Macaca mulatta: one gene and its partner. Each later gene encodes a partner of the first gene's protein in a complex. Links are inferred from orthologs where the notes say so. Each region holds a gene or a part of one and is shown on either strand. Other genes may lie near its edges. The genes, in order: PAK1 and DCP1A.

Region 1 (4,580 bases):
TTTATTATAAAGTGAAATACAGCAAGTCATTGAATAATGTTATTTTGTTACAATGTTGATGAGAAAAAAACCAAACAACTTCTTGGCCTGGGTCACCAGTGTAGTTTGGACTCTGTTTTCTCTGTGTACTCTGGTTTCCTCCCACATCCCAAAGATGTGCACATTTTTTGTCTTTTTTGTTTTGTTTTGTTTTTTCCTTTTTGTGGAGAATGGGGTCTCGTTATATTACCCAGGCAGGTGTCGAACTCCTGGGCTCAAGCAATCCTCCCGCCTCTGCCTCCCTGAGAGCTGGGATTACAGGCGTGAGCCACCGCGCCTGGCCAGATGTGCACATTAAGTTAACTGGCATATTTCAATTGTCCTGGTCTGAGTGAGTGTTGGTGTGCATGTGAGTGCACCCTGGAATAGTGTAGCATTCTATACATGGTTGGTTCCTGCCTTGCACCTTGAGCTGCTGGGATAGGCTCTAGCCACTCTCAACCCTGAACTGGAAAAATTGGGTAAATAATGATCTTGTTTATTTTGAGACACTTATCTTACTTATTTATTCCACTCACTCTGTTTATTCCACTCACTCTGTTTCCTGGCCTGGAGTGCAGTGGCATGATCACAGCTCACTTCAACCTCGACCTCCTCAGCTTAAGTGATCTTCTGCCTTGGTCTCCCAAATTGCTGGGATTACAGGCATGAATCACTGTGCCCAGGCTTTTGTTTTTTGTTTTGTTTTTGAAACAAGGTCTCACTCTGTCGCCCAGACTGAAGTGCAAAGACGTGTGGTCATGGCTTACTGTAGCCTTGACCTCCCGGGCTTAAGTGATCCTCCCACCTTAGCCTCCTGGGTAGCTGGGACTACAGGTGTGTGCTGCCATGCCTGGCTAATGTTTTGTATTTGGGTTTTATTTTTCTGTAGAGATGGGGTTTTGTCATGTTACCTTGGCTGGTCTCAAACTCCTAGGCTCAAGCGATCTGCCCACTTTGGCCTCCCAAAGTGCTGGGATTACAGGCGTGAGCCAAGGCACCTGGTCTGGCCTCTTTTTATTAATCTTTCTTAAATGTATGTATAAGTCACATTGATGTCAATGTTTGATATTAGAGGTGTTTTGTTCTTTAGAAGTTTGGTGATGTCTTGTGACCAGAAATATGCCACAGGAACTTAACTCTTGTTTATATCAATTCACAATCCTATATCAGTTCACAGTAGTTCAAACTTCTCCGTTATAATTTCTTTGTCTTCCTCCCATCCCCGTCCCCTCTCCCACCTCCCACACAAAGAAAACATAATACACGTCTGGCTCTGCGATCACACAACGTCGGAGAGTTTTCAACTTCAGCCCTTGACAACGAGTTTATAGATGCGGTGGTGCTTCGTTAACCTGAAGAGGATCCTCAGCCACGGAAGTTAGCCGTCTTTCTCCATCCTGGCTACACCATTAGCCCTCCCAGAAATAGTCCCAAAATTGTCTGGTAGAAATGCTGCACGGAAACTGCCGGCCAAGGACAGCGGACCGAGAAGAGTGACGCGACGCGATGACGTCACGCAGCAGCCGGGTGATTCCCCAGCCTCTGGCGTCACGCGCCGATGACGCAATCCCAGGCGTTCGCCCTTCTGCAGGCCAGGGTTTGGCCTCGCTCCTACGGGTCGGTCAGGCGCTCCCCGCCCCCTCCCACCTGCGGGAGGCGGGGCGGGCACGGCTCCGCCGGAGCCACCGCCGCGCCGGGGAGGGGGAAAGGCCGGGGGGGAGGGAAGGGGGAAAGGGCGGGGGTAAGGGGGAAGAAGGAGGAGGAGGGGAGCCAGTGAACTAGGCGGTCAGGCCCGCCGAGCGGCGTACAATAGCGCAGTTGTAGGCGGGGGAGGCGGCCCTGCCGCGGCTGCAGCCGGAGCCGAAGGTGGCGGCTGCACAGTAGACGCCCCCTCACGGCTTCCCCCACACGCTCCCGCCCCCTCGTTCGCCTATTGCGCCTCCCTCGCAGGCTCCGCCGTCCTCCTCCATAGACGCTTTCCCCCTCGGACTCTTATTCCCTTTTTCACGGAGCCCCGCGCTCTCGTGAGCCCCCTCGAAGAACCTGGTCTCCGCATCCAGTTCCCATCTCCTGCCTCAGAGGCCATCCGAGCTCTTCGCACCTCGCCCCTCAGCCCCCCACCGTTGCCCCCGCCCCGCGTCGCCTCGCTCCCTGCCGCCCCCCCATCATCCCTTCCCTCGCAGTTCCCCTGTCCTGAGGGGATCCCCGGCACTGGCGGCGCGGCGGCGGCAGGAGGGAGAAAGTGAAGCGGTAGCTCGCACACACTCGCGCCCTCACTCCCGGCTCGGCGGCACCCACCATCGGGAGGAGGAGGAGGAGCCGAGAGGAGCTGAGCGAGCGCGGAAGGTGAGAGCGGGCCTCCCGCCCGGTACCCCTCGCGTCCCGGGCTGCCAGGGTTGGGGCGCGGGGGTGCGGACGGGTGGAGTAGGGGTCTGGGCCCATTTATCTCGCGTGGCGGGGCCGGGCGCTTGGGCCGGCGGAGGCTCCAGGTAAGGTGAGGCGGGCGTCGCCCAGCGAGGCCCGCTCCCGTCGGGCCAACAAAGGCCCCCCGTGCGCTCACCGGCGGGGTCGCGGGTCTCAGACGCCGGGCGATCGAGAGACCCGGGAGAGGGAAGGGGCGGGGCGGGGCCAGGCCAGGCTGGGGCCGGGAGCCCCCACGGGTACCGGTCCGGGACCGAGTCCCTTCCGAACTTTGCAGTCCTGCAGAGCTCACCCTGTCCCACTACGAGGAGGCACAGCAAAGCGGCGCCCCAGTTCCTTCTGCATGGAATAAATGACCCCTTCTAGGCTTGGACAGTCACCTTTAGGGTTTTACTCCCTGAAAAATAAGGGCTGGTAGGACTTGACTTACGCAGCCCCTCCCCCACCGCGGAATATTCTGTAACTTGGGAAGTGAAAAACAACCGGGAAAGGAGATTTATAGTTATTTTATGTTCATTAATCCATTTGAAAAGACATGATTGTTGTAGTCTTCGCTATCCTATTTCAACAATACACATTACTGGGAATGTTTTGGAAGAATACTTGAGAAGTAGTGGGTTGTGAGCAACGTCCTTGGTTTTTAAACCCCTTGGATAATTGTTCTACTCTTAACAAAAACTGAACAGTGAAGGGAAGGGTTAGTTCTGTGGTTACTAATAAAAATTCAATTCGTTAGTCTTGACTTTAAGAATTGTTCTTGAGAAAAATCTTTAATTTTGCCTCCTACATTTGTGGGTTCTCTTTCAACTCTGTCAGGAGAAAGTAGGAATTATCAGTACAGATACCTCATCTCTTACCTTGTGGCTTCATCTACTTCTTGTGTGACCTTGAGCAGGTCACTTCCAGCCTTAAAAGCTCCAGAAGTTTGGTTTTATGCCCCAAAACGGGCAGGTAGCAAGCACCAACTCAGCTTTCAAGAGTCCACTGAAGAATTCCCACACTGTGAAATCTTTGCTGGCCTCCATCCTGTCCCTCCTCTCAGACAGAACTGACTTTTTCCCATTGGCCCGGTGAGATTTCTACCACAGCACTTACAACATTTTGGTTCCTATTTGGAAAATTCTAAATCACGTGCGTAGAACCCCCCCCCCCCCAACTAGCAACTATGCCTTTCAAAAAGGGTTTTGGGAACATTGACGCTGAAAACTTCCCATACTTTCCCTGAAGTTTATCCATACGCTTAACTACATGAACTCATGTGTCTGCCTTGGTGAATTTGCTAATTCAGTCAATTCATTTATCCAACATTACTGGAGTTTGGAGAGCTACTATGTTTCAGGCCTCTTGCTAAGGCTATGGGGATTCAGTCTATTAAGATATTCCCTGTCTTCAAAGAGCTCAAAGTCTAATGGGTGAGGTAGACAAGTAAACAATGAAGGTCTGCCCTAATCTCTGGGGGACTCCAGTTGTACAGGTAGTAGTGTGCAATAATTGAGGCTGCTGGACCTGTTTTACAAGTCTTCTCTTGGCCAAAGTGAGTCCTGCAGGGAAGGTGACCTGCCTCATCCATAAGAGGGCATTTGGTAAAAAGCTTGTTCAGTTCAATTCAATATACATTTACTAAGCGCATGTTTTGAGTCCCTGTGCTAGGTTTGAAGGAAGCAGTGCCTCAAAGGAAGGTACTGTGCATCCAGAAAGATTTCCGTGAAACAAAACCTTACCACATCAATGCCCCCTACCCCTGACTCTTCATATTCTGAAGATAAATTTCAGACTAACATGGAATAAGAAACTCTCAGGCATCAGACCACTGCCTGCCTTTGCAGCCTCACTTTCTGTGGCTCCCCTGCCACTCTCATCTTCGCTTTTGCATGTTCTGTTTTCTTCCTGGATGCTTCCCTTCCACCCTTTACCTGCCTGTGGAGGTGTCCTTGTTGGGCCTTTGCGATGCAGTCCCTTAGTCTTTCCTTTTCCTGCGTAGAATGAGTTGCTCTTCCATCCTCTGGCTCATACACATACCACTCTTATGGTCTTCTATAGCACTCTATTGTAATTACTTGAGCTTGTGCCTTTTTTCGGTAGCCTGTGAATTTCTTTAATAAGCCCTTTAAATGATTCTGATGCTTGCTAAAGTTTGA
Region 2 (3,811 bases), on another chromosome or scaffold:
GCAAAGCAATTTCAAAATAATAATGATTGAGTCTAAAACAGATACCTGCCTCTCTCTCCCTACCCCCATATTAGAAAGAAAAAAAAAAAGATATATATTTGGGGAAAAGATAATACATAGACTAGCTCTGTAAAATAATGTTTTTCATTACCTCTGTTGTTTTATTACTGCATGGGTGGTTGTCTTTTATGACTGGTTCTGTCCTCTTTCCCAACCCCCAGAAGTTCTAGATTTTGTACAGTGTCTTGTTTGAGAGTTCTTTAGAAAGCTTGGATTATGCATAATGGCATATTTTTTATTTTTAACTTATTCAAAAATTCATTATGTTTAAGATTGGTTTGCAAATTGCAACTGTTTTGTTAGGCAGCTTCTGGGGCCTAAAGACAACTGACAGTATATGATAGTCATGGGGTGCTTGTTTTCCTGGATTCCTCTAAGGTCTTACTCTGACAAGGACAGGTTCCTTCCCTTGTTTTCTAAAGCTTGAGTCAGCAGGAGTTATTACTGATATCTGGTCTTCTCCCTTTTTTTTTGCATTGAGTTGCTTTTTAAGGATTGCCTTTCTCCATTGATGCCAATTTAAAATAATTTGTCAAATACTCTTCCAAATTTTGATACAAAGCCTTGAGATCTTATCTAAATGCACTCCATTTTTTTTCTTCTTTTAAGTGTAATTCTTTGATATTTGTACACCAAGCTCTTCTTTCTTAGACACTTTGTTTGTTCGCTGCTATTCATCTTTCTTCTTTTAAAAAGAAAGGGATCGGCCAGACGCAGTGGCTCACGCCTGTAATCCCAGCACTTTGGGAGGCCAAGGCAGGTGGTTCACGAGGTCAGGAGATAGAGACCATCCTAGCTAACACGGTGAAACCCCATCTCTACTAAAAATACAAAAAAATTAGCTGGGCGTGATGGTGGGTGCCTATAGTCCCAGCTACTCGGGAGGCTGAGGCAGGAGAATAGCGTGAACCCAGGAGGTAGAGCTTACAGTGAGCCGAGGTCAAACCATTGCACTCCAGCCTGGGCGACAGAGCGAGACTCTCATAAAATAAATAAACAGATAAATAAATAGGAAGGGATCTTTACCCTCACTCCCTTCATTACTCTTCATTAGCAGTATAAATCTCTAGAAACTCTGTTATTAGAACCTTAGTTTCTATGATATTTGGAAAAGGTACTTTACTGGGTTTATTGTTATCATACAGAGGCACTGATTATAGAAAGTAGGAGATTTAGTGTAGTGGTGGCTGGATTTAATACAATTCACGGAGTCTAATATGGTACTGATTCTAATTAAATGAGACGCAAGAAACTGTGTTTGGAAAATGTGAGACTATTTTGTGTACCTTGGATAAAGGTATACCAGGATGTCAGACTATCACTTTGCAGAGATTACTTCGTATAGTAGAAGCTTGGATTTGGAGTCAAAAAACCTGAAACTGAATCCGAATTACATTATTTGTAACTCATTATTTGTGTGACCTCAGGCACAGTCCTTAATCATTCAAAGCTTGTCTTCTAGTCTGTAGAATAGTGTTAACACCCCATATATATCGTAGAGAAACAAACGAAAAACTATGAAATGTTAGGTACATGTGAAGAGTAAGGGATCATATACCGAATCCCTCTGATACGGGAACCAAGGATGTTTCCTATTGTAGGATTCAAGGCATTTTCTGTCTAACTCAGGAGCACTATGTAAAGATCTGTTTGGTGCAAGAAAAACCATTATTGTAATGATGGGCAGCCATTATAGCCAATCCAATGGAATGATATTTCATTCAGCAACTGTGTGTCTATATTGGGATGTATGTGTGAAAAAAGTAAGACAAAAGCTCCATTTGCATGGGGCTTACATCCTAGTGGGGGCAGGACAATTAATATTAAAAATAAGTAGTATGGATAAAAGAGAAAGGTTAGAGGTATTGAGCTTGGGAACATTAAAAAGGGTAGTTCAAGTAGGCCTCATGAAAAAGGTGACATCTGAACAAAGGCTTGCAGGAGATGAGATAGCTGTGCAGCTTCTGGGGCAGTAATCCAGGAAGAGGTCTTTAGGTAGAAGCACACATGCAGAGAGAGTGGCAAGGAGCCCAGTGTGGCTGGAGAGGAGGAGGTGGGGAAGAGCCATAGGAAATGAAGTCAGAGGGGGAATACATCAGGTGGGGCCTTGGTGGCCTCAGTAAGGACTTTGACCTTTACTCTGAGAGACTGTCTTTGGAGACTTCTCATCAGAGGAAGAATATAATCCGACTTAAATGTTTTGTTTACAGGTGTAAGTGCTTGATAATATTGTATGTTCTAACGTATTCTTTTCTGAAATGAAAATAAAGCACATAGTAGATAACATTTCTACAGATTAAATGGTAACTGCATATTTTTTTTTCCTTCTATTAAATCTAAGGTCAGCTTCCCCTTACCATGGTTTTACCATTGTGAATCGACTAAATATGCACAATCTAGTTGAACCAGTGAATAAAGATTTGGAATTTCAGCTCCATGAACCATTTCTTCTGTATAGAAATGCAAGCTGTGAGTATATCTGTTTTATTATAGTTATTACATTTAAAATCGAGTGACTTTAGTTTCTATCAATCCATTATTTAGTAAGTTTCAAATTACAAAACAAAATATGGCCTATACTTTATGATTATAAATGAGTCTGTTAGAAAGATCAGACGTTTTAAACTGGGCTCTGAGACCAGACGTGGTGGCTCACGCCTGTAATCCCAATACTTTGGGAGACCGAGGAGGGCGGATTACCTGAGGTCAGGAGTTCGAGACCGCCCAGGCCAACATGATGAAACCCCATCTCTACTAAAAATACAGAAAAAAATTAGCCGGACTTGGTGGTGGGCACCTGTAATCACTTGAACCTGGCAGGTAGAGGTTGCAGCGAGCCGAGATCGCGCCATTGCACTCCAGCCTGGGCAACAGAGTGAGACTCTGTCTCAAAAAAATAAATAAATATACTGGGGTCTGAAACTAGAAACATTCTTTTGTATATAATTTTGTTTACTATTTCGTTTACTAGCACTACATTTATGTTGTTGGTTTATTAAAATAAGGTTTATGCCTTTGTTTTTTTGCAGCTGTGGACTATCAGCTGCCCACATCCCTGAGCAACAGAACTTAGTTTGGGACACACAGGATGGGAGCAGATACAGATAATTCTTTCCACAAAGAAAGTATTATTTTTGCCCAGAATAGTGGTGGTGGGGTTTTTTTAAAAGATATTTATTACTTTTTCTACTTTATTTTGTCTGAATATGTTTCTAAGTAGGGTTTTTCTATCTGTTTATTTAATTGAGTGTCTGCTGGTTACCAGCACTGAGCCAAGAGCTATGGTGCTTTAATGTTTGTAACCTATGTGCTATAGGGAGGCAGTTAAGGCAACTAAGACTCAGAGATGCAAAACTATTACTCTGTTGGAGAGTTAGGATTATAACTCTTCTGCTTTTTAGTCCAGGGTTCTTTCAGGCATTTTTACAGCCTCTAATGATAATTGGATGCAGTCAGCAAAGCTAGATTGGCCCTTCCAAGAAACTACAGTACTAAAAAGTGTACTTGATTCCAGTGTGTTGGTATGGATATTGAAGGTATGGGTGTTTGAGGACAGTTTGTTCTACATTGACTATAGGGGGTATCAAAACTGGTTATGGTAATAATTGTGCTCTAATTATCATTTAAGGATATAGTTGGAGAAATGTTGCTTCTAACTTAAAAAGTAAAAGTTAATGTGTTTGAATTTCACTTGGCTGAGAAGTAATTGGTCTTGGGGGATGTCTTCAGTATAAAATAGAAAAAGGTTACT

The links.
Region 2: PAK1 (region 1) and DCP1A share a complex: the UniProt entries of both Homo sapiens proteins name them as parts of the cytoplasmic complex. The link is inferred for Macaca mulatta from reciprocal best matches to the Homo sapiens genes PAK1 and DCP1A.

The regions. Positions count from the first base shown.
Region 1 is NC_133419.1:77,888,365-77,892,944, reverse strand, and holds the start of PAK1 (serine/threonine-protein kinase PAK 1), read left to right. Parts: upstream 1-1,581; 5' UTR 1,582-1,638; intron 1,639-1,706; exon of another isoform or gene 1,707-2,204; 5' UTR 2,205-2,367; exon of another isoform or gene 2,368-2,510; intron 2,511-4,580. UniProt on the Homo sapiens protein: Protein kinase involved in intracellular signaling pathways downstream of integrins and receptor-type kinases that plays an important role in cytoskeleton dynamics, in cell adhesion, migration, proliferation, apoptosis, mitosis, and in vesicle-mediated transport processes.
Region 2 is NC_133407.1:116,924,673-116,928,483, reverse strand, and holds part of DCP1A (mRNA-decapping enzyme 1A), read left to right. Parts: intron 1-2,340; exon of another isoform or gene 2,341-2,360; coding exon of another isoform or gene 2,361-2,401; coding exon 2,402-2,529; intron 2,530-3,811. UniProt on the Homo sapiens protein: Necessary for the degradation of mRNAs, both in normal mRNA turnover and in nonsense-mediated mRNA decay. Removes the 7-methyl guanine cap structure from mRNA molecules, yielding a 5'-phosphorylated mRNA fragment and 7m-GDP.